Arabidopsis thaliana: one gene and its partners. The protein of the gene in region 4 interacts with the protein of the main gene of each other region in a pairwise test. Each region holds a gene or a part of one and is shown on either strand. Other genes may lie near its edges.

Region 1 (8,165 bases), on a different chromosome or scaffold from region 4:
CCCACAACATTTCATGCAAAGACGAGTTAGAAGATTGTCAATATTAGTCACATGCTATGAGAGAAGGAAAAACAAAGCATTGAAAAAGTATTCTAAAATTATCGGAGGAAGAAATATTGAAGTACGATGTTGTAGGTGATCGGGGGCAAATTGATCTTGGAATAAGTAAGCATAAAACAGTAGCAGAGGCTTGGGAAGGCTATAGACAAAGACGACACAGATCTACTCACCTTCAGGCCATAGAAACAGCTCTCTTACAACAAAGAAACGATAGAACAGAGGATGAGGACATTGTTCTTTGGAAAGGTAAAAATGACGTATATAAGCCACAGTTCTTGACTAAAGAGACCTTGAATCATATGCGGACCATATCCATGGACGTTGATTGGTATAAGGGTGTTTGGTTTGGTCATTCCACGCCAAAGTACTCTTTTTGTGTTTGGTTAGCAGTTCTTAACCGACTCTCAACAGGAGACAGAATGACTCATTGGAATGGAGGTCAGTCAGCCGCTTGTGTGCTATGTCACAACGCTCCCGAAACCCGGGATCATCTCTTCTTCTCCTGTGACTTTGCTTCGATAGTTTGGAGTAACTTAGCAAGAGGAATCTATGGAGACAGATTTTCTACACATTGGCAAGACCTGATACAAGCCATCTCCGGCTCTTGGATGACACCGCTTGACAGTTTCTTTGCGCGATATCTCTTTCAAGCCACGGTACACACCATTTGGCGCGAAAGGAACGGAAGGAATCATGGAGAGAAACCAAACTCAGCAGCTCTTTTAATCAAATGAATAGACAAACAAACTCGGAACCAGCTTTGTTCGATCAAAGCAAGTGGAGATAAGAGATATGACAAGGGCTTACAAGCTTGGTTTGCGATGAGAGAATGAGAAACAATTTTTAGATTGTATTCTAGTTTTTGCTCCAGTTTTTTCAACAAAATGTTGCACATAGATGTAAAAACGCTATTTTTTTTTTGGATTTAATTTAACATTACATTAAAAAAAAAAAAAAAAAAAGTACGATGTATATCACAAGATTATAGAAATACGAGATTCTATGTATCTAGGTGGTATCAAAGAGAAGTGAAAGGTTGAGGAAACTTTTTACAAGAAATGTAAAATGGGATGAGTGAAATTAAAGGGAATGAAAGAGAGTAGAATTGTTTTTTGGATGAGAACTCATGAGATCATACCTACACACAAGACCAACCCAAAGCTAAAACCTGTAAAGCATGGGCTTTTTAGGCAGTAGATGATTCTAAAACAATTTAAAAGCACCATTTTAGAGATATATATGGTCGAAGAGTGATTAACACTTTCACTCTCTCACCATTTTATTTTATTTTTAACGTCTTGCCTACACATTTAAAACATTAATTGGTTGATACTTTTATACTTTTTTAAGCAATTAAAATAATTTATTTAAAAATAAATGTATATAAAAAAATATTAATAGTTTATTTCTTAGATACTCAATGAGTCTCCATCCAATGAAGGTGCTCTAACAGAATCTTGAACAAGGCTACATACTATATGGTCTTGTAAATGAACATTTTCACTTTTTGGAGAGAACAGAGACAAGACAATGGACCGTGGGAGGATCCAGAGTTTCAGACCAAACATCACGTTTTTTTATCACTCGCTTCTTGTACTTCTTCAACTATCTCTGACTGTTTTACTGTTTTCTTTCACTGCTAATGCTTACACGTGCATCTGTCTCAACAATTATTTTTCAGGAAAATAAAAAATAAGAGAGATTATATATACAGTTCAAAATATAATTGCATATATATATATATATATATATATAAATTATATAAAATATACTGTTCAAATATAAAGTTTTTTTTATAGTGGTTTGGTTTCACTTTCATTGTTATCTATAATTTAGCTCACGGTGCGTACATGTAACTTACATTAAGAACAGCCAAAAAGCTCAAGCTCGTGTCCAAATTAAGATTCCGAATGGTATAGCTAGCAATATAATATATTATATGGTTTTGGATTGATAAAAACATAAAACCTAATAAAGGAATTTAATTGATATAAAAAATGAAACAATAATACAGTCTAAATATTCAATTATGAATTAAAATATTGCAATAAATCAGTTAATAGGCATTAATACTAATATGATTATACATACATGGTTAATCACTAAGAGCAACGTGAATATCAATAAACTAATTGATTTACTACGCTTGCATAATTATTTTCCTTAAAACTTTTTGATTTCGAATACTTTGTTAACACCCTGATACATGTGCATATAACATAGTAGGCTGAAATTGGACTATTCTTAGACAGTTTTCACATCTAGAATGAGATGTATAGGTTTCGTTGAGAAAAATTGTAGTTGAGATGATTAGTTATATATAACCTATGTCTGTGGGTGCTAATTTGGCAGATGGGAAAAGAATTGAAGCCTTTATATATAGTCTTCAATTATTAGTATCATCGTTAATAAAAACAGTGGTCCTTATCTCTCAACAAGTCTTTCATCAAATTCGGATAACAAAGACAAAATAGAGAATCAAAGAAAGAGACATTTGTGTTATTATCAGTAAATTATTAAAAAAATAAATAATATTAAAACACTATTATATTGGGTGTAAATTGGCTCTATGATTAGTGATTAGTTTTTTTCTTTTCCCCCATAGAACATTCAACGTTTCCCACCCATGCAAAATCCAACCTAAAAGCCAAACTTTATAAGGAAACCAACAAATAGATCCCTACAATCTAAAGATTGCAACAAAAATGCCCCAAAATTATAATCTTAGACAATCCACACCTTTTTCAATCATGTAAAACACTTCCAAACTTTTCATAGTCCATTGCTAAAAATAGTTTTAGTCTCACAAAGTTAGACCAAAATTCAATACATTCGGCGCATAATTATTTTTATACTACAATATAGTAAGTGTGATAATAACCAAACAAAAAAAGGTTAAGTGATCATTTGGTGTGGAAACAGCAAATATTGGTCTCTACTCTCTACTACAAAAACCTAGTGGGACTACAAATGAAAATAAAACACAAAAGAAAAAGAAAGTGAAAGTCTCTCTCTCTTTTCTACAAGCTGCTTCATCTTCTTCCTCTCACTCTCTCTTTCTCCAAACAAGTAAACAACAGTCAACACAAACTCATAGCCCCACCAGAAAAAAAAAATACTCCAAGAATTTATAGGTTATAAGTAAAAATTCAGTACAAGTTTGTTTGTTTGTTTATTCCATTTTCTTGTGTGTTTTTTTCCCCATAATTTATAAATTTTATAAGCAATATGGAGTCCCACAACAACAACCAGAGCAACAACAACACCACTGGTTCGGCCCATCTGGTCCCATCCATGGGACCAATCTCCGGTTCAGTCTCATTAACCACCACTGCTCCAAACTCCACTACCACCACCGTCACCGCCGCTAAAACACCCGCAAAACGACCGTCCAAGGACCGTCACATCAAAGTAGACGGACGTGGCCGGAGGATACGTATGCCGGCTATCTGCGCAGCACGTGTCTTCCAACTAACACGTGAGTTACAACACAAATCGGACGGCGAGACTATAGAGTGGCTGCTCCAACAAGCGGAGCCAGCTATCATCGCAGCCACCGGAACTGGAACCATACCGGCGAATATCTCTACTTTGAACATCTCTCTTCGAAGCAGTGGCTCTACTCTTTCAGCTCCACTGTCTAAATCTTTCCACATGGGAAGAGCGGCTCAAAACGCTGCCGTTTTTGGGTTCCAGCAACAGCTTTATCATCCTCATCATATCACGACAGATTCTTCTTCTTCTTCTCTTCCCAAAACATTCCGTGAAGAAGATCTTTTTAAAGATCCTAATTTTCTAGATCAAGAACCCGGTTCAAGATCACCTAAACCGGGATCCGAAGCTCCTGATCAAGATCCGGGTTCGACCCGGTCAAGAACACAAAATATGATACCGCCGATGTGGGCACTAGCGCCAACGCCAGCCTCCACAAACGGAGGTAGTGCTTTTTGGATGTTACCAGTCGGAGGAGGAGGAGGTCCGGCTAACGTTCAGGATCCATCACAGCACATGTGGGCGTTTAATCCGGGTCATTACCCGGGTCGAATCGGGTCGGTTCAGCTAGGGTCTATGTTAGTGGGAGGTCAACAGTTAGGGTTAGGTGTTGCAGAAAATAACAATTTGGGGCTATTTTCCGGCGGAGGAGGAGACGGTGGTCGGGTTGGTCTCGGAATGAGTCTTGAGCAAAAGCCTCAACATCAAGTGAGTGATCATGCTACTAGAGACCAAAATCCTACTATAGATGGTTCTCCTTGAAAGACTTCATGATTTCTTTGGTTTTTAAAAAGTGTGAATGTGTGATTTATTGCAACTTTTGTTGAGGACTCCAATGTTAATATGGGTTTTAGGGTTGGCTTTTCGGGATTGCCAAATTGTTATTTAAGAAAATGGATTTATTGTTTTGGTTGCATAATAATTAACGAGTTTTGCAACTCTTTTTATTCGATGCAAAAGCATGTCACTTAAAGGAAATATAGTTGAATCTCTATGTGTAACATAATGGACAAAAGAATAAATTAAATATTTATCAGAATGCCTTTTCTCTTTTGTTGAAGGGTATAATTGAATACACCTTCTTTGACCGCTCATATATTTCAAATATTTCGAATTGATTGCAGTTCGTAAAAAGCTAACGAATATAAATAAAAAATTATATGGTGTAGACTGTAGTGATAAACTTTATTGGGTGCATGAGCACCACATGTTTGGATACAAATGGGTTTTTAGATTTATATATTAATTCTCTTTTAAAATTCGTATTTTGTCTATCATACTTTTGTAGTATCTACCAAAAAATTGTCCACTTGTGGAGCAACATGGACACGTCAGAGAGAACTCCTATGCCACAGTAAATTCCAATGTGTTTGAAAAATAGGCTGGACGGGTAATCAGGCGAAATGCCGTTTTTAATGTGACTAGGGGTTAGCCCGGATATATATTTTGATAATTGATATTTTCAAGTTAGTTGATATAGTTTAAAAAAAATATTGGATTTGATTTCGGAAGTGTATATAATAGATGGTTTATTGGGATTTTTATATATTTACTATTTTTAATATATTTAAAATATATTAGAAATAATATGTTATCATGTCAAGAAGAAAGAATATGATTTATTTTACTTGTGATTTATATATCTATCATATATGGGATGTAGAAGCATGCTCCTAACTTAAGCTTTAGCAAGTTACATATTAACATAAGACTTGTTACATAATTCTGACCAATTACAATTGCTAGAATACGTGTATCAGTAATATTTTAGAAAACGTTAACATGCAAATATAAAAATATTACTTATCCTAACTTCTGTCTTTTATTAATTCGTGTATTGACTATTTCATATTTTTTATTTATCTTTCTCTCGTATTACCAATGTCAAAGCGGAGTATTTGGCAAGAAAAATTCGTGTCAAACCGCTACATATTACCTATATAAACAATTTTCCGCAATCTTGGTTCATCTGAACTCTAAATAATATCTGATGACAAAAAATAAAATCACTCTCAACATTCTCTTCGGGAAAAATGTCATGTAATCATTCAACTTTAAAAAAATGGCCATTTTATATAGGAATTTCATAGTAAGCTATTTTAAATATCAACTAAATGTTGACTGCCATATTAAACATGAAATTGCGTTGATCAGACCAATTTTGACATGACGTTAAAATGTGATTACGGAACCACTAAAAGCCGATATCAGTCGTTAACTATTCTGTAGTCATGTGTTTTGGTTATTTGTATTCTTTTTATTTTTTTTTGTCTTAGTTTTGTTGTGCGTTAACGATTGATAACAGTTGTTAGTGGTTATGTTAGTAGATTTTAAAATCATGTTTTTTTTGGCCGGGTCAACATTTAGTTGATGATTAAAATAGCCTTATACGAAATTCATGTTCAAAATAGCCTAAATTTGAAAGTTGGTAATTTGACTAACAGAATTGTTAACGACTGTTAGTGGTTCCGTTATCGGATTTTAATGTCATGTCTATATATATTGGTTAGGTCAATACAATCTCATGTTTAATACAGCAGTCAATGTTTAGTTGATGTTTAAAATAATATACTATAAAAATTCAATATAAAATGACCATTTTTTAAAGTTGGACGATTAAATGATATTTTTTCCATTTCTCTTCTCCTCTATTCTCACAGCGCAGTTCTCAAAGGTGATTTTTTTAATCATCCTTCCGTTGACCTTATACACCATCTCCGACCCTCCTCCTTCGTAGATATGCTCTGCTTCCATGCACATTTTGATGAGGGAGAAGACCCATCTATTAATAATTTCTTATGCATTGTAAACATCGATCTCAAGAAAACATTTTCTCTACGTGGTATCTATGGAACATGCAGCTGATATTAATTATTGGCTGTGATTAAACTCAAAGCTTTTATAAACTCGATGAGAGAGTAGTGATGAAACTCAAACATATTTTATCATGATGCAAGTGGCAAAGAAAGTTGACCTCACGAAGAGATCTCTTTGCATTGATCTGGACATCTGGTGACAAAAATGCATCACCAATGTTCTTTGACACTACCTTTTTACTGCTCTTCAAGTTCATAGCCGGATTTAAAACAACAAACGACCAGTTAGTATAGGCATCTTGCTTAAAGATTGTCCAGTTCTTCATCAACATAATCCATCTTTACACATCAGTTTTCAACATGAAACCTAGCTCTGATAATGGTTCCTCCCTCTTAACACTCAGGAAAGGGAAACACAAAATGAATAAGAGAAAGCAAATTTAATTACTTTAGCTTGAGTTTATAGGTTTTAACCTTCATGACCTGAGTTGAATAAACCACGGTTTCTTGACCTATTTGCTTCCATAATTTCTTCTCCAACACTTCTTTCTTCTCCGGCCGCAACCATGGTTTTTTTTAACATTTTTTACACTTTCGAGATCGGGAACAACGTTTAGGTTTCTTGCACCTTTTTCTAACTGAAATTTATTTAAAACTTTTGGCTTTCTCTATGGTCAGACTAAAAATTCATGTCTCTATATATAACAAGTTTTTTATCACCACAAAAAATGATTAAAAGTTATATATAGTAACACCATAGGCTAAACAAAGTTCATATTCGATGACTCCGTTGTGTGTGTTCTATTTCAGTTTTCTTGTGAGGAAGAAATATTGTATTAAGGGTTTTTATTTTGTCACACTAGTACTTAAGGCAAATGATCCGGGAACAGCTTAATTGAAAACCATGATAAAGTCGCAGAGAAAACAATAAGATAATTAAAAAGGCTCAAATGGCCATCAAAGTTTAAACGCATAAGATAAGAGACAACCATAAAGAAGAGAGTCTCATCATTTGGCTCCACTTGGGTCCTTCTTGACAACACTCTTGATAACTCCAACACCAACGGTTTGCCTCATGTCCCTAATAGCAAAACGTCCCAGGGGTGGGTACGCAGAGTAAGCCTCAACCACCATAGGCTTGGTGGGAGTCATATTAATAATAGCGGCCTCACTGTTCTTTAAAAACTTTGGCTCCTTCTCAATCTCATGACCAGTACGCCAGTCAATCTTGGTCAAGATCTCAGAGAACTTGACTGCAATGTGAGAGGTGTGGCAATCAAGAACTGGGGTGTAACCATTTTTAATCTGACCAAGGTGGTTCATGATGACGACCTGGGAGGTGAAGCTAGCAGCAACCTTTGCAGGATCATCCTTGGAGTTTGAGGCGACGTACCCACGCTTAAGTCCCCAAAGAAAGAAACTAAGGATCAAATTTTGCAGCCAATATGGAATGTGCAGCCTTCACTCCATGGCATCATTTCAGATCTATATCGTTTGGTCCCTACATTCATCAGTGGAAGCTAAGTGCCGACCACATGTAAAGTAAAATGTTGTAAGGCCCTATTATCCCCCTTCCGTACAACGATCCCATGCATATGTTTTGAAATAGTGTCTTCTTCCTTAATCTCCCAAAAAAAAAACTAAATTACTGAATGTTTTAATACAATTCAAGCATGTGAAATGAAGAAAAAACTCTTTACCAAAATCTGAATACTCGTGATGTTATTACACCCGACTATGATAACTGTTTATATCTTTTTCTGCCTCTACTTCCTTGTTTATGAATTTTCCCCAATC
Region 2 (8,624 bases), on a different chromosome or scaffold from region 4:
CTTGAGAATTGAAGATGGCATCACTAGATGATGACGTATTTACTATTTGTTGAGCCGTTTTGGGCCAAAGTTAACAAATGAAGATTGATACGGCCCATTTAGTATAAATTTTTACTGATGTCTGACGGGTTTAGAAGCACACGTGCATGCAAGTAGTATACACGTGGGTGTTTCACATGAAAGATCCTACTTCCTACATGTGTTGTTGACAGTACGGACAAGTCTTTTAGTTGGCGAATAAGCGGCTAAAAATTTTCAAAGTGAAGCCGTTTAATGCAGGTCGTCGGTCAAAAGTGAAAGGATGATGGATACTTTTGTCATTTCATGTATCTTCTATGTATTTGCCTTTCAATCTACTGAACTTTGTCAAAAGAATTTTGTGGTTTTTTATTTGCTACGTAAAGTTTAGATATTAACAAAAGAATCAACAAACTATGAAAAATAACAAAAAGATGAGACATTTAGTCATGTATAACTCTTTTTTTTTTTTCATATTTAACTTGCACATTATTATGATGTATGATGTCATAACAAAACAAAATTTGTACTTTAGTAACCACAAATAAATATATGTATTATGTTAAAAATCATTGTAAAATAAGAAATACATTCATACAACCATAAGTTTTTTTTTTAAGATCATAGTTCTTTAAGAGATTTTAAAAAGAAGAAATCACATTTTTAACCTTCAAAGTGTCATTGGTACACCTCGAATTTCTTTTACTAACATTTATAAACCATCAAAGTAATTTTACTAATTCTTTAAACCTCCAAACTAGTTTTTTTGTTTGCACCACTATAAAAAATGACGAAGTAATTAATTTTGTTGAATATAAATTCATATGATATAATTTATTTATATATATTTTTGTTGATTTTTGTTTTTTCAATCAATCTCGCAATTGATTTTTTGGATATGTTTTGTTTTCATAGTCGAACGATGAATAAACGAAGAAGACAAAGTTTTTTTGTTTCTTAGATTTTCATTAATTATAATAAACAATAATATTAATTTAAATGAAATTAAAAAGATCATATTAAACAAACATAAATTACAATAATATCAAGATGATCAGACTCAATGGTTTGGTTGGTGGCTCTTCCTCCTCAACCAAATGAATATTAAAATGCTAAAATTTGAATATTCCAATTTGGCTTTCTAAATTTTTAGTTTGTCTACGGTGAGTTATGAATAACAATTCTATATCTATTTTCTAAATAGAAGTAACAAAAATGAATTAACTTTATACAATTACACATTTAACCACATTGGAAGAGAATGGTATCGAACCCTTGCTACCAAGAGAGCTCGGCTAAATGGAACAACTAACACTCAATATGACTAACGGCAACAACATGAATATCTTAATAAATACGAATACAGTTTATCCTAAATGTTACTTATTATTTGTATATGTGTAGAGAACATATTCATACGAATATTTTTGGGACAAGATAACAATTTTCATTCCTGTAAATAAAATTCCACTAAATGGTAAATAACTCGAAAGTCTCGAATGATACAATGAACTCAGTCAACATATATTTGTTTTTCCGCCTCTTACACCGACTAATCTACCACCGTGTGTTAGTATTATGATCTTTATGTTATTTAAAGCTTATCGTTGTTTAGATATATCGAACGAGTTTTTCTGTTAGGCAAACCTTACAAAAATGAATTTAAAAATTAGGAGAACAAACCCGACAATCGAAGCATGGACCCTAATTAACAACAAACAGCAAATGATATACTTTGATTTATATATTCACACATCGTGCACCGTCTTGTTCCTTTTGACAACAACCTATTACCAATATTTTAATTACAATGTTTCTAAGACACACATTGTTGGAATTATATTCTACATCGTGCACCGTCTCTCAGGTATATGTGTTCACCAAATGTTCACGTGCATCTTTCAAAATCTAGCTAAGTGTACAGCAAAAGTACGTGTCAATTATACATTGACCCAAAATAAAATGTTGGATCCGAAATGAAATAGATCTAAACAATGTTTAAGTAACACGAAACAATTTACGACAAAAAAAAAAAGTAACACGAAACAATTTACAAATCCTCAATTTAGTTTACAAACCAATAAAACTTAACATGGTATATATTATAGTCTAATTCAACCCATATAATATAACCTAAATAGGATAAGTTTTCGATTAGAAATACACCAAGAAAACCATCATTTAAATATGACATGTTAGAATGTGGAACACATAATAAAAGTAAACATATTGTTAACTTTTATAACCAAGACTAAGTGTATTATTATTATTATTTTTTTTTATTTTTTTAAAATATTAGGAGGTTTTGGGCCGAAACCCGTAATCTCTACAGACCCAAAATTACAGCATATAATATTAGTTTCGTCACTAGAATGTATTATTAGTATGAAAGAAATAACAATTAAGGGAAAGTTTGGTCAGTAAACTGAAAACCAACAACATCAAAACTGAAATAGTTTCGGTAATCCGTTTATAATTTGACTAATTAGTATGTAACTAATTCGACATAAAATACGGAAAAAGATAAATTAAAAAATAAGTTGTGAAACCGTTCGATGAAGGTTGGGAAGAAGGTGCAAATGACGTTTAGTGCGTTACTAACGTAAGAGACAGTTACACACAATTTCAAAAACAGTTCCAAAAATTTGACACGTGGCAGTTTGCTTAATGGACGACAGTTAGTTGTTTGTTGAGGATTACAGCCTGGATTTTCGTCAATCAAAAACTATATATTATAAATAAATATGATTTCATTCACATTCCAATTGGCCTAACACTCTTTTGTCGTGTTGTCCATGTCAGCAAATTTTATTTTTATTTTTCCGACCACTTACTTTTATCTTGTGTGGCCGTTTCTTTGTAACAAGTTTATGAAACAGAATATTAATCGTATCTAATCATATAAATGTAGTTTCCCGTATTGTGTAAATACTATATGACTTTGATTTGGGGCATTCAAAAACGTACCATTAACAAATAGTCACAGACAAAAAAACCATACAAAACTGAACCACATTTCTATAAACGATACAAATATTTTTATCCCAAATTTGTAGCACTAGGCAGTTTGAACCTTTTTCAGTTAGAAAGATAAACCAAAAGGAAGTAAAAAATATTAATTTCATCGCTCAAAACTGTTACAATTACTGTTTAACCAGTCATAAATTAGTTAATGTTTTTTTTTAAAAATGTGTAATCAAAATTTTACTTTCAAGAGTGCCAGCTCTATACTTGCAATTACTTTAAAATTTAAAAATATACAAATTTTAAATTATGTGTATTGTATTCTCGAGAAAAAAAAAAAAAGAAATCTATGAATAATTAAAACGTAGCATAACCGTTACAAGTATAGTTTCAAATTCAACGAATCAAAATACTTTTTTAAAAGTAGCTAATACTTTTCTCGTTTCAAATTAAATGTCGTTTTGCATATTAATTTTTGTGTCATATTAAACGTCGTTTTATATTCTATGCAGATTTTATGTATAAACTTTATTGGTCAAAAGCGTTACGAATATCGTTTCAAGTTCAACGAATCAAAACATATTTTATAAAAACATCTAATACGTTTTCCGTTTCAAATTAGATGTCGTTTTGCATTTTAATTTTTGTGTCAGTCTAATGTCGTTTTATATTTTCTACACATTTATATTTTCAAAAATTTCAGTTTTATTTTTATTGTTTAAATATATCATCCAATTTGAAAATAATACAATACAATAACAAAAATAACATTTAAATTAAACAAAAATATTTTTAGAACACTGTGATCAAATTTTATCCTCCAATATTTCCCGACCCATAAACTTTAAACCTTATGTAACTTCAAAAAAAAATTCAAATTAGTCGTTTTGTATTCTACAAAATAAAATAAAAGGAAAAAAGTTTCAGAGAAAAGGGTAAATTTGCATAACAAGGAATACAGGCTGGCGTGTCCAGTCAAAAAAGTCAGAAATCTGCATAAAAAACTGTCTTTACCCAAACTGCCAAACCTAACCGTTATCGTCTCAGATATTATTATTATTTTTCAAATAAACATTCAAAACAGCTTTCTAATTTTTCACCTCAGATTGTGCGAATAATATCAGAGCTCTTTCCTTGTAGGTTTCCGTGATTTTGTCGCTTTAACTTCCCTTCTTTTCCCACTCTCTTCTCACGCGCGCGTGCTTCCCCTTTCTCTCTTTCGACTGTATCACACGCTCCATAAACTAATAAACAGACGCACCGAGATCACGACACGTGTACACCTACAGCTGTATCCCAAAACTTTCAAAACCGCTTGCGTGGAAGAAGCGGTGCATGACTTTCTCCACCGTCTCTACCGGTTACCGGTTATTATCCATCCTCCTCTCTATCTCTCTCTCTGTTATAAATACCTTTTTTCTCCTCTCTTCAGTTTCCTCCACCTTCTTCTTCTTCTTCTTCTTCTCTACAACAAACAAACAAAAGATCTGTTTCAATGGCGGATCGTGTTAAAGGTCCATGGAGTCAAGAAGAAGATGAGCAGCTACGAAGGATGGTTGAGAAATACGGACCGAGGAATTGGTCTGCGATTAGCAAATCGATTCCAGGTCGATCTGGTAAATCGTGTAGATTACGTTGGTGTAATCAGTTATCTCCGGAGGTTGAGCATCGTCCTTTCTCGCCGGAGGAAGATGAGACTATTGTAACCGCCCGTGCTCAGTTTGGTAACAAGTGGGCGACGATTGCTCGTCTTCTTAACGGTCGTACGGATAACGCCGTTAAAAATCACTGGAACTCTACGCTTAAGAGGAAATGCAGCGGAGGTGTGGCGGTTACGACGGTGACGGAGACGGAGGAAGATCAGGATCGGCCGAAGAAGAGGAGATCTGTTAGCTTTGATTCTGCTTTTGCTCCGGTGGATACTGGATTGTACATGAGTCCTGAGAGTCCTAACGGAATCGATGTTAGTGATTCTAGCACGATTCCGTCACCGTCGTCTCCTGTTGCTCAGCTGTTTAAACCAATGCCGATTTCCGGCGGTTTTACGGTGGTTCCGCAGCCGTTACCGGTTGAAATGTCTTCGTCTTCGGAGGATCCACCTACTTCGTTGAGTTTGTCACTACCTGGAGCTGAGAACACGAGTTCGAGCCATAACAATAACAACAACGCGTTGATGTTTCCGAGATTTGAGAGTCAGATGAAGATTAATGTAGAGGAGAGAGGAGAAGGACGTAGAGGTGAGTTTATGACGGTGGTGCAGGAGATGATAAAAGCTGAAGTGAGGAGTTACATGGCGGAAATGCAGAAAACAAGTGGTGGATTCGTCGTCGGAGGTTTATACGAATCCGGCGGCAATGGTGGTTTTAGGGATTGTGGAGTAATAACACCTAAGGTTGAGTAGTTTTGGTTTAGGGTTAAAACTTGAATCGATTGGGGATTTTCAAGAGCATTCATTTTTGGGGTTTATGGTAAAATTAAAAACAAAAACAAAATGTACAGAGGAATTAAAATTTCTATGGAATAATCTTAAATCTCAAATATTTGTTACTTGTTTTGGTGATTCATAACCAAAATCTATAACAAGTCTAAATCTAAAAATTGAACCTTGATTAGTGAGACATTATCATACAAAGAGACATACTGAGTTAGTCAACAAAATGTAGGATAACTACATTCTTACATATTGTATAGATGAATTTCATGTTAATCCTTTCATAGAGCTATACAGTAACCATGATTAGTGAGACCTTGTAACATGTAGTATCAAAATCAACAAAGGTATAGATTTAACATCTATTTGAAAACATTCGAACCTTTTATTTGAAAATCTTTTGCTTGTTGTAAGAGATTTACTCTATAGTCTATAGATAGTAATTAAACCTTTTCTATAGGTTTGGTAGATTACTTCACTTTTATATAAAATTAATTACTGTCAAATCGGATTTTTGTTAACATAATTATTTTTCGACAATTTAGAAATTATCGTAAAAATTAGATCAATCTTTCTACATTCTTACAAAAAATAAATACATTGTCTAGAAAATCAGTTTTTTTTTTTCGTTTTAAATCTATAAAAAAACTGACAACAACAAAACAATACATACTTTTTAATTACTATAGAGTAAAATCTCTTACAACATGCCAAAGATTTCAAATAAATTGTAGGAAGATTTTTATGTTATTTAACCATTCTACAGTATAAATAAACACTGGTACAGCGATGTTAAAAAGTAGAGGTTAAAAAAATGCGTTAAAAACACAAAAGCTACGTCGTTTCAATAACTGGGTTTTGTCTCAAAGAAAGCTGCTTTTGGTTCCCGTAGATCTAAAGTTACGTTCGAGTCTCCCCTCTTCTCTCCACTCACTCAGCTCTTTTGATTCCCCTCCAATTTTCTCCGACGGTACGGTCGAAAAATCCAACCGGAGATCAAATGGCACTGCCGTCGATCTCATCAATCGGCGCGACGTTCTCACTCCTAATCTATTTATCTCTTCCTTATTCAATCACAGCTGGTGAAAACAACCTCCTCCACCAATCTCCAACCGCTAGATCACGACGTCCCATGGTGTTCCCATTGTTCCTCTCTCAACCAAATTCTTCTTCGAGATCCATATCAATCCCACATCGAAAACTCCACAAATCCGACTCAAAATCACTTCCTCACTCTCGCATGAGACTCTACGACGATCTTCTTATTAATGGGTAATCTCCTTTTCCATATTTCCCGATCTGGGTCATGTAAAGATGTCTCTTTTATATACTATTATATCGTATTTGTAGGTATTACACTACGAGGCTTTGGATTGGTACACCACCACAAATGTTTGCTCTTATAGTTGATTCTGGTAGTACTGTTACTTATGTTCCTTGTTCTGATTGTGAACAATGTGGCAAACACCAGGTAATGATGGCTCTAGATATCCAAATCTTGTGTCTTGTCTCGTGTAAAGTTGCAAATTTTGAAACTTTCTTATGGTTATTGATCAGGACCCAAAATTTCAGCCAGAAATGTCTAGCACTTATCAACCTGTTAAGTGTAACATGGATTGTAATTGTGATGATGATAGAGAACAATGTGTTTACGAGAGAGAGTATGCTGAACATAGTAGTAGTAAAGGTGTTCTTGGAGAAGATCTTATTTCATTTGGCAATGAAAGCCAGCTAACACCTCAACGAGCTGTTTTCGGTTGTGAAACTGTTGAAACCGGTGATCTTTATAGTCAACGTGCTGATGGGATTATTGGATTAGGTCAAGGAGATCTTAGTCTTGTTGATCAATTGGTGGATAAAGGTTTGATAAGCAACTCTTTTGGTTTGTGTTATGGAGGGATGGATGTTGGTGGTGGTTCGATGATTCTTGGCGGTTTTGATTATCCATCTGATATGGTGTTTACGGACTCGGACCCTGATCGTAGGTATGTTTCCAAGGGAATGGCTTTTTCTGATTGGTGAATGGGATCTTGTATAATCCTAACAAATACGTTTAATACCTTTCACACATTTACTCTAGTTTCGGGATGGCGACAGTCCATATTACAATATAGATTTGACGGGGATACGTGTTGCTGGGAAGCAGTTGTCTCTTCATTCGAGAGTCTTTGACGGGGAACATGGCGCCGTACTAGACAGTGGTACAACATATGCTTATCTTCCAGACGCAGCATTTGCGGCATTTGAGGAAGCTGTAAGAACTGTTCTGAGAATTGTTAATGTTTAGTTAAGTTCCCTGTTTCTCTGTTGCTTATCTTACATGAGGCTCTTATCTTGTTGTATTGAAGGTAATGAGAGAAGTTTCCACATTGAAGCAGATTGATGGTCCTGATCCAAATTTTAAAGATACTTGCTTCCAAGTCGCTGCAAGGTATTTATTATCTCTTGCAAACTTGTGGTGTATATCATAACTTATAATCAAGGCAAGTAACTGACTCTTATAATTGTTTATGCTGAAGTAATTATGTCTCGGAACTTTCAAAGATATTCCCATCGGTCGAGATGGTATTTAAGAGTGGACAGTCATGGCTGTTGTCCCCTGAAAATTACATGTTTCGAGTAAGTAATGTAGCCCTTAACCTATTATGAAGTTCCATGTTCTCTCTATAGCTAGCACTCTATGCAGTATTTATAAGTCTCTCTGTGTCTGGTGTTGGTTTAGCCACAAATCAGTAGCTGATGTGATTACTTTTTGATCAATAAAAGCATTCCAAGGTGCATGGTGCTTACTGTCTCGGTGTCTTCCCAAACGGAAAAGATCACACAACTCTTTTAGGAGGTAAATAGATATCATTACTTTGTTTGATTTTTCTCTTTTTATGGCTACCTTCATTTGTTATTATACTGCATATCATTTTACTTGCCAACAGATTCATTTGTAACAAATGATCTTATACTATTATCAGGAATTGTGGTTCGTAATACACTTGTTGTGTATGATCGTGAGAATTCGAAGGTTGGATTCTGGAGAACCAATTGTTCGGAGTTATCGGATAGGCTTCATATTGATGGTGCACCACCACCTGCTACTTTGCCTTCAAATGATTCAAATCCCTCCCACAATTCATCAAGCAATCTGTCAGGTTAGCACGACAAACTCTCTCGTCTTGGAAATTACAAACTGAAAAAAGAAACTATTTCTATTTCTCCT
Region 3 (8,788 bases), on a different chromosome or scaffold from region 4:
TCCGCAAGCTAGCTTCTGCTCGACTCAACAAACGAGCCATGGAGAGGAGGAACTGGCCTAAGTTCGGAGACGCAGCCAATGAGGAAGCTGGTAGCCATCTCACTATGGTTTCTACCGAAGAGATCCTTCTCGAACGACCCCGAGCTCCTGGTAAATTCTCTCCCTCTGATGATGATGATGATTCTGGTGATTTTTGTTTGTTGAGATTCGTGGGGTTATTGGTTCGTATTGAATTTGGAGTTAAAATTATAAATTTGTGCACTTTGATCTAATTGAGTTGGTAAAATGTTCAGTCTTATGGCTGTGCTAATTGTGTGAATAAGTTTCTAGACTCACCTAGAAAGATGTTGTTTGTGATATGTTCTAACTTGGGATTGCTGTCCAATTCATTGTTTGATTCATTAGTTTTATTGTTTAGTCTAATACTATTGGGTTAAGGTGACCAATTAGCGAATCACATGTTAGCCGTGAGGCTACTTGTTTGTGTGATTGGTCAGTATGTCACCGATAGCAGTTTATTGTTTGTAGTCCATTCCTGAGTACGAGCTGAAATGTGCTCTCACTTTTGTGGCTGCTAACTGTACACATAGATGTTGCAGCTTTTCATTGGTCTCCTACTTGATGTTAGGAAGCTTTAGTTTCGATTGTTAAAGCTTTTCTCCTGTGACATGTTGTCTCCCATTTGATGTTTGGAAGCTTTAGTTTCGATTGTTAAAAATTTTGTCCTGTGACATGTTGTCTCCTTTTGTGTTATTACCTTGATGAAAAAATTAGATTGATGTAGGAGTCACCATGATCTTGTGTTTCAATGAACCAATGTCAAATGGTTTGTAAACGGGCAAAGTTTAAGTTCCTTGATAATGTTACTAGGGCTTTCGTGATCAATCTATTGATAGGTGAATGACTAGTTGTATAGATAGCCATCAAAGATGATGTTAATCAGTGGCTTATAGTGCAGACATAGGTTGCTATGTTTGATTCTGTGGCTATGCATTACTGTATCATTTTAAAGTTGACTATGAGTTGGCCATTGGTTCACAACTATCTTTCATTCTTTGTGTAATTGTGTGTATCTTAACGGTGTGTGATACTTCAGGTACCAAAGCGGATGAATCAAAGGCAACAGGAGATGGCTTGTCTCAGCTGGGTAAAGGTGGTGCAGTTCTCATGGTGTGCAGGATATGCCACAAGAAAGGAGATCACTGGACATCAAAATGTCCATACAAGGATCTAGCTGCACCAACCGATGTCTTCATTGACAAGCCACCCACAGGGGAATCATCTACCATGTCTGCTGCACCTGGAACTGGCAAGGCCGCGTATGTCCCGCCTAGCATGAGAGCAGGTGCAGACAGAAGCGCTGTGGGTTCAGACATGAGGAGGAGGAACGATGAGAACTCTGTGCGTGTAACCAATCTGTCCGAGGATACCCGTGAACCTGACTTGATGGAGCTGTTCCACCCGTTTGGAGCTGTCACACGTGTCTATGTGGCCATTGATCAGAAAACTGGAGTGAGCAGAGGATTTGGTTTCGTCAATTTCGTGAGCAGAGAAGACGCTCAAAGAGCAATCAACAAATTGAATGGTTATGGTTATGATAACCTCATCCTCAGGGTTGAATGGGCAACTCCAAGACCAACCTAGAAAGAAATGTCTGATGTTGAGACCTTAAAACTCTTCTCATTCTCGTCTTTCTTGTTATGGATTTTTGTTTATCGACCAGTTTGTTTGTTGGTTTGGTTTCTGTATGAATAGATGAGAATTTGTTCAATTTCTCTTTAATACATAAGGCATGCTTTTTAAAAAATGGATTTGTGTGATACGTAAGAGTTTTCCAACACTTTTTTCATTGATGTCTAAAATTATTTGTGATGTTTGTTTAACATTCCCCGTTTCACAAAAATATTGTTTGACTTTTACTTTTTCGTTCTAAGATATCAATCAAAATAATAATCTTTATTAATGAAGAATATAACTAATTAACAAATGTTAGTACGTATATTCTTTTAATTGTAATTATAACATTTTCGTATCATTATGTAAAAATAAGAAAATTTCCTTTGTTAAATTTAGTCGAAAAAGTAAAATTTCCATTTATTTTTAACTGCATATATATCAGCTTAAGTAATTTCTTCTTAGTAGAAGGTCAAATTTTAGAATTTCATTGAAACAATGGAAAAGGTTTCAAAACTCAGTATTATCTTCCGTGACGAACTACAAAACTTCAACAATGACTATGTCGAAAATATAGATGTCGTCGGCAAAAAAACATCTAATTCATCATCGGACAATGAAAGCGACCAATTCGCCAGCTTGTTTGGTTCTTCGTCACCGTCTTCGTTTCAAATGCCTCTTCAGTACCCGAATTACGCAAAGGAACAGTACGACATTATGTCGGAGGAAGAACTCGATCGACTTCTCAAACTCTATGGTCTGCCTACAGATATCGGTAACTTGTCCTGCAAAAAAGAATTTGCAGTGGGTGCATTCTTGTGGGAGACGGGGTTAAATTCTTCTCTGGATGAGCATGATTCAGTAAACCCTAATTCGTCCATTGATGATTTGGAAGAGAGATCTTTGATAGGGTTAGTGACAGTTCTAGTAAAGGATATGGTTCAATTTATATTCCGTGGGTAGCAAGTTAAGGAAGTGAAAGCCTAATTTTGCTTGACCCTAAAGTTTCGTTTCTTGTTGTTTATATGGATGGATTTCAATTATTATGATTTACTATATCATATTATTTAATTTGCTTCGCCGTAAGCTATCGTCTGTTTCCTTTTCTTTTCTTTTTTATCGTCTGTTTTCTTACAACCGAACAAAAGTTAAAACCAAATTGAATAGGGAAAGAAAAATATGGTTTATATATTGCGGTTTGGAGAAACTAGTCGGGACAAGTTTCTTCTTAAACAATATATAAAAAGGACCAGCGACTCTAGCTGAGAGAATAATCTTGTTTTATATGTTTTAAAAACTGTATACCAATGAGAGAAACAAAAGCTTCAAATAAAACTTAGCTAGGACCAAAATCGACCAAGAAGGATAATAAGAGCAAGAGATAGACTTTGAAAACAAAGTAAAATCTATCTAATTAGATATAGAAGCATTATCTAAAAATATAAATAGAGAAATTCTAAAACACAAAAACAGTTTAAAGTTTCTTGTTGGGACCATTCTTCACTATGAAACTGCATCATAAATTCATAATCTGAGAGACTGAGACCCTTTCAAATCATTAAGATGATGATGTTACGTTCTGCTTATGGTGTTCTTATATGGTTTGTATTTGATTAGTATTTCTTTACTTCAGTTATTTAAATTTAAAGTCATTTTAATTTTTTATGCTCTTTAATTCATAAATTCATAAATTCATAAAAGAAAATATTTTTTTTTAGAATGTGTTCTACGTTTGGAATCAAATATCGTCAGTAAACAAATCCTTCTCCGTTTTATTAAACCTTTGCATAATATACAAATTTAAAAATGAAAACAATGATTATAGGTTTTACGGCCTATGCATCTTTTCTTTACCTTTTATCATTGATGGACTACTACAGTTGGTGAAAAGTCTTATTTAACAAATTTAGTCGAACAATTCACTTGTATGTTTGCACCGTTGAGCTAAAATCGTCTACCAACTATATTTGGTTTAAAATGTTATTTTTAACAATTTTAGAGCATTTCAATTGTGTATTTTGTAGTGAATATAGCTATATCTTTCAGGCAACATCGTCAAAAGGCTGACCAAGTTTCTCTATTATGTCCCAAACACATGTAATTAACGACATTTTAAGTTAACTTAAATCTATACTAGCAATGGATTTTATGTAGGAAAAAGTATAAAGTTAGTTGTTTTGCTAAAACTAGACTTATGATATAAAACCAAACTTATTGTTAACATTTTTAATGTAGCACAAGGAACTCACGATGTCATGTAAGCCTTCCTCAATACTATAAAGTAAGAACCATTAGGGACATGAATAGATATTTAATAAGACAAATTGAGACAACATTATGATGTATAGCGAAAAAAGGGAAAGAATAATTGAGAAAGAGAGGTCAACATCAAATCTTGGAAACCAAATCTCACATAGACCAAATAGACACGTGTTGCTATTTGATTGTCACAAGTAGGCATAATCTTATCTAAGCTCCCACTTGTGTTGTGTCCCTCTCAATCCCCAACTTTTATTGTGTTGCCCTCTCACTCTTTCCACAAACCCAACAGGCAACAGCTAAAAAAATCAATCCATCATTATAACATTATGCGAATTCCGATCTAATAATTTTATGGCAGTGCCTTATCTTTTGATGGTGAAATCTCCAAACTTCGACCAATTGTGATGTATTGGATTATCCAATCGAACTTTTCACGCGTGGGGATATAAATTTACCGTAGTTTTGGTTCAAATGTGGTATTTTCATATCCAAAAGATGCTAGGTTTACGAAAAATGTCTTCAACAAAACCCCATAATAATTGTTGGTTTAGAAAACAAAACATAACCTAACGTATGATTAATACCTAACAAACATTAATGTGAAGGGTTTATAAAAACATGATTGAATAGAATAAGATTTTATTATCTGGTCATTGTGGCAACTGGCAAGTGGCTAGTAATGGACGGTTAAAAGTATGTATTATTTTTTGTTCAAGTTGATATTAATTTATTTATAAAAGAATGTGAAGATCATATTCCTTTTTCTTACCCTCCTAGTTGATATTTTCTAGTCAATTTAATCAAAATCTGTTTAATTGATTATTGATTCCGACCTTAACTGACATTAAGCATTCGACAATGTTGCCAGACAAGTCTCTTAACTTAACTATCTTCATTAGTATTAAAAGAATTAATAAATCATTGTACTTTCTAGTTCTTATATTGATTGTCCAGATTAGTCTCTTCCACCAAGATATATATATATTTTTGTTGATTTATGTTTCTAATATTATCCTTGAATCTTTTAATTACAATTATGTGCTAAAATGCCGCGGTCTACGACACGCGAGTCTCCCATACGACCCCATACCAATAAAATAAATAAAATCTTCTTAAGATAGGGGAAGATTAGTAAGTAACCGGTTTGGATTCAAATCATCGTCGAGACTCATACTAAACCAGTTCGGATCGAATAACATTAACCGAAGTTTTAAAATGGTAAATACGCATAATCTGTTCTTTCATTTTAACATTTTTCCCCTCTGAATTAGATTATTACATTTCCAACGACCATACTAAAAGAATACATGTATAATATTACCTGAATAGAAAAATAAGAAAAATACTCAAACTATTTAATCAGCTCTTTTTCTTCCCCAGCCTGAATTAAGAGCTAACTAAAATAGAAAAGAAAAAACACCTTAAAATGAGAAAAACTAAAATAGAAAAATAAAAAGAATACAATTACAATTAGGCTATGTAACAATTATTCTAATACTACTACTAATTATAACACTAATTATTAAGACGACGCTTGATTATTCCTCCTCTTCCTCAAGTCAACCACAACGACGCTCACGTTATCGGAGCTCTGTCTTGCTAGAGCCAACTTTGTTAAGAGCAACGCCGCATCGGAGCACGCATTGTGCGCCGCATCTGAGTCGTCACCCGCACCAGCACCTCGAAGGCACATGCGAGCCACGCCACACGCCGTCTCGTTTGGTACAACATCCCATAGTCCATCACTCGCCAAGATCAAACACTCATCCTCATCAGTTCGATCCGTCACTGTTACCTCCGGATCCGGAATCACATACGGTTTCAAGTAATTATCACCTATACAAACAAAAACAATAATCATCAGATTAAATTCAAACGTGTAATTCAAAATAGCCTAAAAAGTCAAATCACAAGAGAGATTCACTCACCAATTGCTCTAGACATGGCAAGAACTCCAAGAACCCTAGCTCCATCCCAATATATAACTCGCCCACCAGCTTGTTGGATCCGAATCAATTCATCGGGTCGATCCGGCTGTTCATCACAAAACAAAAACTCTTAGAACCATGCCATCTTGATTCATACTAACCAATTCGTAATTCTATATAAGACATAATTTTAACTACCTTGTGATCTACGGAGAGAGGAATGGCTACACCGTTACGACAAAGCACAGCCCGTGAATCACCGCAATTAGAAACAATGATCTTCTCCGGCGTGACAACCGATACAACAGCGGTGGATCCGACGGCGTCACACTGAGGAGACTGCAATTCACATCTACAAGAATTTTTCATACTCCGAGTAGCACCATTAACAACTAAGTTACACTCTCGTTGGCTAACTTCTTTATCCATTTTTTGAAAACTCTTAACCATCGTCTCTGTCCACTCGTCGGAAGCCATAACTTCAACTTCCTTCTTCACTATATCATGCAACCGTTCTCTGCACTTCTCCGCAACCTAAAATCAACCAAACAAAACCCTAATTAGTAACTAATCACAAACAAAAGAAAAAAATATTACTAAACAGAGGAAATTAACGTACATGAGAGCAGCCATGGCCGTCAAAGACACCGTAGAAATGATGATTCTCAGAGTTCCGTTGAAGAAACGAAGGATGAATCGAGACAGCGTCTTCCATGTCTCGTCTTCTACCACAAACCGACGTCGTACCGATCTTAGGTACATCGGAAAAGAAACTCTCTGCTTCCGTAACAGAATTTGAATTCGTAACCGCTGATCTAGCCTTCTTATTCTCACTCCTCACATTCGAATCCAGATCTAGATTTCCCGGTAACGTCGAGAGCACTACTGTCTCACGCTTCTGCCGTTTACGGCAGTTTTCAAGCGGAGGAGCAACGGCGGAGTCAGCAACAATTTTGATCGACGGAAGTAGATCTAACCTCCGTCTAAGAGAAGCTCGAGAAGTTGAATCAACCGGTGCCGCCGGTTCAGTCTCTCCAACAACACCGCAACAAATCCCAGCCATTTGATCTCTAACAAAACTTCTCCAATTTACAGAGCAAACCAAAAACAAACAATCTCCGATTATGAGTCTTCTTCAACAATAGAGAGAGAGAGAGAGAGATATTAGTAGAGAGAGATTTTGTTGAGCGTTAGGAAATGCAATGTGATTTTAAAAAGAAAAGGTTTGATTTAAAAAGAAAAGTTGAAGAAGAACGCAAAAAAAAAAAAGGGTTTGATTTTCGCATGGAAGGGTTACACGTAATTAACGGGCAGGGGGGCATGAATAAGGGGAAGTTGCTGACCGTCAGCATCAACGGGCAGGATCCGACACGTACCGTTTGGTGTGACGTTCCATTTCCTGGTACCTAGATACAATCTAAACCGTCCATTCTTTCTTTTTTCCTAGATCTATACACGTGCCCTTTCTTTCTTTTGGATACGCCGTTAACGTGGCCCAATCACAGTTCGACACACCTTAACGGTAACGACCGGCCTTTCTTGACACGCATGTGGTCCACTCTTTCGTTTTGTTCTTTTTTTCTTTTATTTTGTTTCATTTAAATACGCTTAATACAGTATTATGCTGTTAATTAAGATTTAAATAAGTCAGAGGTCAAAATAATGGCCATGGGAGAGAGACAATCTTGTTATAAAATACTGGTTTTAATTATTTTGTCAACTTTTTTATAAATCAGAATAATCACTATGAGATTAATGTAATCGATAAAATCTCTGATAGTAGAAAATTATACAGTATGAGAAAATGTAAACCCCTTCTTTTTCTAGTTATGGAATCCTGAATGGTGAATACTCTGATAGTCTGATTGGTAATGCCAAACAGAATGATAGGTCAGCCCCACTACCCTTAAAACATATAAGAAAAATCTAGTAATATATACGATATGGTTCATATCATTTCACAAACCTAAGCAACATCAATAATACATTTGAATGTTTCCTGTGTTATTTTAAATATTGAACAAACCCGCTTCAATTTGTACAAAAGCGATGCCTCTGAACGTACTATCAAGTATAAATTTGCTTCTAAAATAACGCATCGTGAATCCGTTCCGTGATTACATATTAATCGAGGATATAATTGACATCCAAACTAAAGAAAATTTGCTTCAGAAATAACAATTTTGATCCTATTTGTACAAGAAATAACAAATATATATATCGTAAAAGGTTGATTGTATTGAATTGCCAAAGAGACTATTTGTACAAGAGATGTTGCCTAAAAGAAGATAGAAACGTATCTAACTGAATCTAGGAGAAGAGAAGATTAACATATATTCTAACTCTGATATTATTTCACACATGCAATTTGAAATGTTTAAACAATAAGAGTATATTTATGCTTGAAATTCTGAAATGCACATAAACGAAAATAAATTGGAAAATAGTTACGTGTATCTGATGAGTTCAAACCTCAGCATCAAACACTTCTTTTTTGGTTTTGAATAATTAAAGGTGGGCATTTGGGTTAAGTTCGGGTAAAACCCGATTAGATATGATTTTTTTGGATATAAAAGTTTAAGATTCAATGGGATAAATCCAAAATATCGGTTTGGTTTAAGTTTGTATCCAATCGGTTTTTAATCGGTTTGGATATAAATTTTCAGGGTCCTTTTAGAACCGATATCCGAATTTTTGAGTAAATACCTGAATTTTTGGATAAAATTTTAGATTTCGAATAAATTTAGATTTTCGAATAAAATACCGGTATTTTCGGATTCGACTTAGATTTTTTGGATTAAAAAATTTAGGATCCAATATAGTAAATCTTCGGGTTCAAGTTTAATTTCGAACCCAATATAATAAATCTTCGGCTTTGGTTTTTTTTCTAGTCCTAGTTTTGATGTTAGAATTTCATAACTTGG
Region 4 (8,291 bases):
TTAAACTTACACTATAAGCTTTTTATCACTGTTCTTGATGAGGAGATCAACTAGTTGTGATGATTTTTTATCTGCTTCGCATTCCATATACTGTAGAGACAAGGAGAAATAAACCGCTAAGAAACGCATCGGTAGGACATGTAAAGATAGAACATCGGTTTCTACTAAAAAGAAGTATATACATATGCAACACATATGATCAATAGGTATTTTCAATACAACAAACTTGCTACCAAGAGAAGGGAATACAATAGAGCTACGAAGAGAATCGTATAACTACTGGATACTTACAAATTAGAAGGAAATCCTTCGTAAATCAGGTCACAGTAATGCTAAATGATAACGAAGGATACAACAGGAAAACTAACTACTCTGAAACATATTATTACATAATTATATATTGAACTTATGCTACCTCAAGATGAAGACCAGAAGGGGTTTTCGAGTTTGTCAATTGCTGGGATGATTCCGACTTCGACTTAGCTCGAACTTCAACTCTCACAGGGTTCCTAAGCCCAGCCTTGGCGAGCTCTTCAACGCCCTCTGTTTGTGTAGCTGAAAAGAGGCCAGTCCTCCTCTGCTTTGGCAAGCGTGAGATAATGTAATTCACCTGCCTTTGGAACCCCATCTCCAAAAGCCTATCTGCCTCATCTAGAATAAGAATCTACATACGCAAAACGATTCAGTTTAAGTAAAAAAACTAAACTTTTAAGTTGTTTAGACAACATAACCACACCAAGCTATAGATTCAACAACATCTATCTTAAAACAAATCCTTGATTGAAGAAAAGTACCTCAAGATTTCGAAAATCCAGAATCTCCATTCGTTCCATAATATCAGAAAGTCTTCCAGGTGTACCAATCAAGACATTGCATCCTTCTTCTTCAATAATCTTCATGTCAGCTTTCACCTCTCGGCCTCCAACAAGCAACACAGAGTTCACATTTGCCAAAGTCGAAACAAATGGTTGTGCGACATTATATATCTGCGTTGATAGCTCTCTCGTTGGCGATATAATCACCCCCATGACCTGTAATTTAATTTCAAAGATAAGCTCACAATCGAAACAAAAATCCTAATTTCCAGATTAGTTGGCAATTATCTTACCTGGTGAGGCTTCGGAGGGAATGAGGTGGATCGACGGAGGATTTCTACGAGGGGAACGACGAAAGCTAGGGTTTTTCCAGAACCAGTGGCAGCGTCGACGGCAACATCCTTGTAACTACAGAGTAAAGGGATCGTCGCGGCTTGAACCGGAGTGCAGAACTCGAAATCAGACTGATTAAGAGCCTCAATGATATCTCCGGAGAGTGGAGGTTCGAGGTCGGAGAAACGCGTCTCCGTTAGAGCTTTGTTTATGTTCGCCGATGAATCCATGACGGCCGCCGCTGCCTCTCGTTGCTCACTTCCCGCTTTAACCTTGCAGTAACCTTGCAATGACTGAAAACAAAACGCAGCGTTTTGATCAATTCGGTTCGGTATTATGTTGGAATTCACAACCCAGGCTTAAATACTGAACCGGTAACCAATTGATGCCCGGATTTCTCCCAGAAAAGCTTTACTAATATGAAAGAAATGTATAATTTCGGCCCATTTGTTTTGAGCTAATTCTTGGGCCTCGCCACTTATAAATATTATTACCGTTCTTAATCAGACATTTGAAGTATCTCAGCACTAATTTGGGACAACAAAGGATAAAATGTCACGAATAATTTTGTAAGATGTGGTACGATAGTTTACGTATCTTCATTTTTGTGTATTATAAACAAAAATTACTTTTAAAATTTTAATCATTTGTGTATATATGGATTTGAATATGGTGGTGACACGATGATAGTGATAGAATAGTACAAATATGTTTATCTCAATTTATTTGTTCGAAAAGAAAGAAAAAGAGGATGTTTTACCAAACACAAAATAAAGTGATACAATAGATTATAAATATAAAGAATTTTGTAGCAATAAATACTATGATATTTAATACTTATCTTTTGATTCGTACCAAAAAAAAATAAAAATTGTTATCTTTTGAGTTTTGATATTGGTTATACATTTGTTTTTCTTTACATCCAATATTATATAGTAAGATAATTTTAATAACACTAATCAACATTTAATCAATAATATAGTAGTGTGCTTGATGATATATAATACTCTTTTGACAAGATTTTGATAATTTGTTATTGTCCTTGTTTGTATTATTATTAAAAGGAAATTGGATAAAAAGAAATATTAACTCTTTAAGACCGGCATAAGGGTTCGTTGTATCATATCCCACTAGGGGCAGAAAAAACTAGCAAGTTGCAACGCGTTTCCAGCTAAATTTTAATTGCATGTCCTTTTAGACTTTCTTAAATACAAATTTTGAATCGAACGAATTATAATAAACCCACCAGAACAAAAAAAAAAAAAAAAAAAACAGTAGACCAAAAACTTATATTTGAATTAAATATAACCCACTAGGTTGGTTGGTTATAATTTATTAACAAAACAAACGGGAATAAAAAATGATAATCTCCACTTGACCAGACTAGTAGCCAATGAAAGACTAGTTGGTAATAGTTTAAGCACGTCTACTTTTGCTTTAGGTCTAATATATATGTTTTATGTAAATGCACATGCTAATCAGGTTTAAATTCCATAACCTGGTTTATAATTTCCCTCTTAGTTAACACGCAGTTCCATCTACATATAGTACCTTCTAATAAATTGTTACGTCCCGAGAATATTATGTGTAATAGACAGATAATTCGAATATATATACTCAATACTTAAAGGTAATTTGATGTTCCCTTAATATGATCCATGATGACGATAAATCTTAAAGTTAAACGAATTGGAGTTTTTTTATTTCTGAACTTTTATCTCTCTGGTAATATTATAGACAGTGGAACAGTTATTGGCTTCATTCTAATTGATTCTTAGATCAGAATATCGGCTTTGTATTATATTTTCTATTTAGAACATTTGGACACAAGGATCAACCAACAAAAAACAAACTTATAGTAATGTTACATACTATGAAGAAATAAATTAATAAGTCTATCATTAACAATACCGATGCATCAAATATTCATTTACAAACCACAAAAGAAAAAAACGGTTAAGAGTAACATTTAAAAGAGTACAAGAAATTAAACAATGTCACAAAGAATGATACCATGTACAAAACAACAAATGGATTAATTCATTTAACAGATTCACCTTAAAATGTTTTATGTACCAGTACTAACACCCTCCAAATCCAAAGTTTTGTGAATCCCCCAACAGTACTTCGAAATTTCCAACATAAATCTCCCAAAGAAATCCCCATTAAATTACAATTCTTTCTAAGCCGATATATCTATTTAAAAAGAAAGAAAAGGTACTCGAAATTTTCTTCCTTGTAAAGAAGATCGAACATCTAAAAGAAATAGAACAACAAAAAAAATTAGATACATAATTGCAATTTATATAAGAAAGATGAGATTATTGCCGGTTGGTACTTCGAGCCAGAGACTGAAGGTTGCACCGGACGATAGTATCAACGAAGCTTAGAGTTTCCTCCTCCGTGTTTCCCGGCGGCACATCAACGATGTAAGACTCCACCACCACGGTACCTTCGTCGTCCGACGCGTGTAGTGTCGTCACCGATCGGTAGTTCTTGAGCCTGTGGTCCCCACCAACGACACTAAAGCTTATCACGTGACGCTCCTCGTCCAAGATCTCGAGCCTCTCGGTGCTCGAGACCGCCGGGAGTCCAGAGACCACCATGACCTCCCGGAGATCGCCGACGTGTAGTCCATCGCCTTGGACGATACGGCACTGTCTGATGAAGTTCTTGTAAACCTTCGGATTATCGAAACGCCGCACAAGAGCCCACACGGACTCAGGCGGCGCGTGGATCATCTGCACCACCGAGGAGCAACACTGGTCCGGACCAACGTCGTGTGTGTGGTGCATCGCAACGTGTTCAGGGACATGCATACCGCGCGTGAGACACACTCTCTTGATCGGACCATCGGTCTGATCGTGAGGCTGCAGCGTGTGGAAACCGTTAGTGGCGTCTGAGCCGTGTTGGAGTTGCACCGGTGACCTCATGATCTCTCCTCTATCTCTTAATTTGTTTTTGGGAGAATTTATGGAATCGTATATATTGCGATCGAGAGAGAAATAAGTTTGATGAGAAAAGAAGAGAGCTAGCTTTTTGATCTTGTTCGCTGTCGGTTGTCAAGTTGGTTTTGTTTGAGAAATTTAAAAAGTATGATCATCTTTTATTTTATAACAATAACAATAAGATATGAACATTGTGTGTTTTTAAAAATATATATTTGAAGATAGATGGATAGAGATAGCTGGGGATGTGAAGGCTTTGTGTTTGTATGTATATAGAAACAGTTGTGTATATAGACGCATTTGTATCATATAGATGTGTGTGACCATGTATGATACATTGTACCATCTTATGCCCCCATGATTTCTTTCCTCAGACGCCTCCTTCATTATCTTGAATATATATCACCAAAATTAATTGTATTCTATAGATCCCTCATTTCCATCTTGATAAATTTTATATTATAGAATCTACAAGGTTTATCTACATATGAATACTGTTAATAAATTGTTCATAGAAAAAACTGAAATTTCAGAATTAGTTTTATCTTTTTTTTTTAAATAAATCATTAGTTATAGTAAAATATGTTGCTGTTATTGTTAAAATTTACTTATTATATGCACATTCTGATCTTAATCTACTAAAGTGATAGTTATGAGAAATAACATGTACAATTTTTGAATATCACACGACTGTAACGCGCATGATTGATTGATTGTGGTAAATTTTAAGATAGACATGGTCATCATGGCGAAGTAAAAACTACATACATGCATGAGCACACGTGCATGCACAGATGTTGATGGGTTTGTCATATATGTGTAAATGGCGTATGTAAATGTGGTGTATGTATGGAGAGAGAAAGTCGGAGGACGGTGAGAGACCTTATCAAAGAGCTTACGCCGGACGAAGCAAGTGGATGTTGCAACTTGCAATCTTCTTTGGACTTGTTTAGGTGGAAGATTATCCTTTCCTTTTTTTCTCTATTTTCTTTTGTTCTTGTTGCCCATTTTTATATTATATTCTCATCATATAGTACAAAGGTTGTTGCATCGCGACTTTGTAATTTTTTCAATAAATAATAATATTTTGCGACATGGGTATGGTACTCTACATCAAGTTTCATGTACACTCGAATTGTATAGGCATGCAAACGTGCAATTTTACTATTTTTTTCTAAACCAACTATGATAATTGTCGTAATTAATTATAGAGGAATGCATTCAGTAATCCCACTACATTTTTTGAAAAGACTGATCTACAAGAAAATAATATTTATACGGTATAAATTATACCCTGTCAATGAGATAAAACGTAAAAAAAAAATGTAATCGTAATTTGTAAGACTAGTTAATAAATCTTGTGGGTTTTTAGAAATATTCGACCATCACACCAAAAAAAACAAGAGACCACATGTGGGTTTTTAGATTTTGTTTAACTTTCTAATTAAAAATTCAAGGCCCAATCGTTTGTTTTTTTAAAAATATTATACGAAATCATGCCCTGTAAGAATAACGAGAGAGCTTCACGGAACTCATAAGACCATCTCCAATGGTGAGAGCCTCCTAATGGGATCTCACCATTTTTTAAGTATAAATCTTTTGAATTTGTAAGATGAGAGCTTCTGATTTTTTTGAAAGATTTTTCATAGTCCAATGGTAAGTCTCTTTTAAAAGAGTTGTCTGGAAAAAAAATTATTCACAATAGAAAAAATGAGAATCATAGAAGAAATGTCTAACATGAGAGGCTGAGACCATATATTCACAATTCCTTACCATGTGAAAGCAAGTAAATAAAGAGGAATGAGATAGGAGAGAATAGAAATGCAGTAGACTTCTTGACAAATTAAAACATAAAGGTCAAGGTCAATAGAAATGTAAAACGATATGTGGAATGTTCCGTTGTATGGTTCCGGTCAGACATGATATTACTCTGTTGGAAACTTGCTGCAGGAAATAACAACATATCAGGTTCACCACTAAATGATTGCAAAGGAAGATCTATGGAAAGTACATAGATGCACCAACAATCTAAACACATGGCCATCACCTTTCCAAGCTTGTAAGCCCTCTTCACTTAGAAGAGCAGAACCAACGAAAATGAGTTCCTTCACTCAGAGTATAATCAACCAAAATGAGTTCCTTCACTCACTTTTGAGAAACTGCAAGTGGTACAGCCAGAAAAATACCCACCCAAATGGATTATCCCCTGAAGCTCTCTCTATTAGCCATCAAAAGTGATATTAGTCAGATACAAAACACCGTAAAGGAAACTATCGAAACACAAAGATTAGACTTTACCACAGGTGGGGTTGAAATATACTTCACTAGCTTCTTCACGTTAGATGGGTATCTCAAATCAAAGCCAAGATCCCTTAATCAACCTAAAATGTCCCTAAATTCTTTTCCAAATCACCACATTAAAATCACAATTAGAACCTCAAATTCCACAACCTTTTGCAAATTCTAGTTCAATAGCTACGAGAATCAAAGAGCAATCGAGAGTAAAAGTCCAAAACCCAGACAGACAAAATAAAAGAAAAACAATAGGACAATGAAAACCGAGAGACAATCGAATTTAAGAACAAACAAAAACAGTTCTATGAATCAAGACGAACGATAAGATTAGAAGAACAAACCTTGCAAAGTATGGAATCCATGAATCTCAGAGCCGATAAGCCTACCGAAATCAACGTCGGCCAGCTCGTTTCAGGTAAGTCCAATGATCCTCAAAGTCCCAGTGAAAAGATGATAGTAGAGAAAAAAAACGGAAAAAAAAAAGAAATACTGAAAAACAACGACACGTATGCGTCTCTCTTCAGCTCCAAAATCTCTCTTAAGAGAAACGATTCTCTCAGTATTAAACCTTTATGATTTATTTTTTTCCACAATAATTTAGAGAGACTGTCATGAGAGCTCCATTTTTCTCCCGTTGGAGATGCTCTAAGATACTTAATAGGAACCATATGGGGCTAACTAATTCAAGGCCCAAAATAAAAAGAAAAAAACAACTATAAATGCCCTCTTCAGACCTAAATTAAATCTGTTAAAAGGGTTATCGAGTCTCGCTCTTGTCGAACAAATTTTAGCCATGTTCTCATCCACCATGGTACTCTACTCTTATGGCTTTTCTGATTCACTCTGGTTTCTTATCTTTGTTTCTCAATTGATGGTTTCTTCACAAGTTTGTAAGAAAAGTACTTGCAAGTTAGTTAGCAGTGCAAGTGTTTCTGATTTGATCTCCTGTACTTTTTAGGGAGCGAAACGGAATAACATTCCAAAACTGAGGTAAATTGAGAATTTGGTATGTGTAAGGTGATGCATGTTTTCAGATGTCACGTTGATAGTATTATTATTATTGCAGTGACGTTGGGAGGATTAAGGTTACGGGATATGACACTGGTCTTCCGCTTGATGATCTCTACACGGCGTTGGCAGAACATTTCTCTTCATGTGGAGAGATCTGGGAGATTTATATTCCCTTAAAATTTGATGAGACTAATACGATTCTCAACAGGTTTTGGTGGCTTCTTCCTCCTCCATTTCTTTCCAACTCATCAGCTCAAGTTAACGTGGGAGGATGGAATGTCTCTGTTGAGGCTTATCCGTATCCGGCACACGCAAACGAGTAAACACTGATTTCTTAAAAAAATAAGATTTGTTGATAATAATAATGTTTATCATCTCCGGCAATATCCTATTACTGCAGTAAGGTTATTGTAAGAGTTGAAGGATATGATACTTCGCTTAGGAAGAGTCAAATCTCGAGGGCTTTGGTTAAACTTTTCTCTCCATATGGAAATATCATACGCCTCCATTTTGTCAAAGAGAGGTTTGAGGCTTCTTTCTCCCATGTTACCCAACTTTCAATTTATTTAAAATTATTACTCTTTAACGACTAGAGACTTGTGTATTTTGTTGATCATTTTTCAGCTCAGTTAGAGCTGTTGTTCACGGAAAAGACGTAGCTGATACCGTGACTCAACTTAATGGGAGCTACATGCGAGGACGCAAATTAGCTGTATTGGGTGACTGCCAAACCGGAAATACCTATACGCCTCATTCGCCGCCGCGTCAATTTCAGTAAACCTATTCCTCCTCTCCAAGATCCTTCTGCCATGGATGCAGCCATTCCAAAAAGCAGGTAAATTAACTTTTCTATCCTTCTCCAGTCACTTTTGTATCCTATAACCACAAT

What was found.
Region 1: the proteins of PYL5 (region 4) and AT1G35560 interact in binary tests that used the Arabidopsis thaliana proteins (3 or more experiments, as listed by UniProt).
Region 2: the proteins of PYL5 (region 4) and MYB77 interact in binary tests that used the Arabidopsis thaliana proteins (3 or more experiments, as listed by UniProt).
Region 3: the proteins of PYL5 (region 4) and PP2CA interact in binary tests that used the Arabidopsis thaliana proteins (3 or more experiments, as listed by UniProt).

Annotation. Positions count from the first base shown.
Region 1 is NC_003070.9:13,112,248-13,120,412, reverse strand, and holds AT1G35560 (TCP family transcription factor), read left to right. Parts: upstream 1-3,177; 5' UTR 3,178-3,288; coding exon 3,289-4,314; 3' UTR 4,315-4,587; downstream 4,588-8,165. Other genes in the region: AT1G35550 (elongation factor Tu C-terminal domain-containing protein), read right to left, coding at 7,377-7,691.
Region 2 is NC_003074.8:18,554,905-18,563,528, reverse strand, and holds MYB77 (myb domain protein 77), read left to right. Parts: upstream 1-4,202; 5' UTR 4,203-4,477; coding exon 4,478-5,383; 3' UTR 5,384-5,922; downstream 5,923-8,624. Other genes in the region: AT3G50050 (Eukaryotic aspartyl protease family protein), read left to right, coding at 6,414-6,685, 6,764-6,884, 6,971-7,398, 7,511-7,667, 7,762-7,844, 7,933-8,032, 8,180-8,252, 8,380-8,556. UniProt on the Arabidopsis thaliana protein: Transcription factor involved in auxin response. Functions in auxin signal transduction and modulates lateral root growth. Interacts with ARF response factors to promote auxin-responsive gene expression.
Region 3 is NC_003074.8:3,578,723-3,587,510, forward strand, and holds PP2CA (protein phosphatase 2CA), read right to left. Parts: upstream 7,129-8,788; 5' UTR 6,928-7,128; coding exon 6,484-6,927; intron 6,399-6,483; coding exon 6,063-6,398; intron 5,971-6,062; coding exon 5,865-5,970; intron 5,773-5,864; coding exon 5,459-5,772; 3' UTR 5,060-5,458; downstream 1-5,059. Other genes in the region: EIF3G1 (eukaryotic translation initiation factor 3G1), read left to right, coding at 1-150, 439-467, 529-580, 1,097-1,644; AT3G11405 (uncharacterized protein), read left to right, coding at 2,173-2,637. UniProt on the Arabidopsis thaliana protein: Major negative regulator of abscisic acid (ABA) responses during seed germination and cold acclimation. Confers insensitivity to ABA.
Region 4 is NC_003076.8:1,605,164-1,613,454, reverse strand, and holds PYL5 (Polyketide cyclase/dehydrase and lipid transport superfamily protein), read right to left. Parts: upstream 4,468-8,291; 5' UTR 4,082-4,467; coding exon 3,470-4,081; 3' UTR 2,928-3,469; downstream 1-2,927. Other genes in the region: AT5G05450 (P-loop containing nucleoside triphosphate hydrolases superfamily protein), read right to left, coding at 11-90, 416-664, 795-1,031, 1,109-1,378; AT5G05430 (RNA-binding protein), read left to right, coding at 7,185-7,202, 7,350-7,381, 7,458-7,721, 7,803-7,925, 8,027-8,180. UniProt on the Arabidopsis thaliana protein: Receptor for abscisic acid (ABA) required for ABA-mediated responses such as stomatal closure and germination inhibition.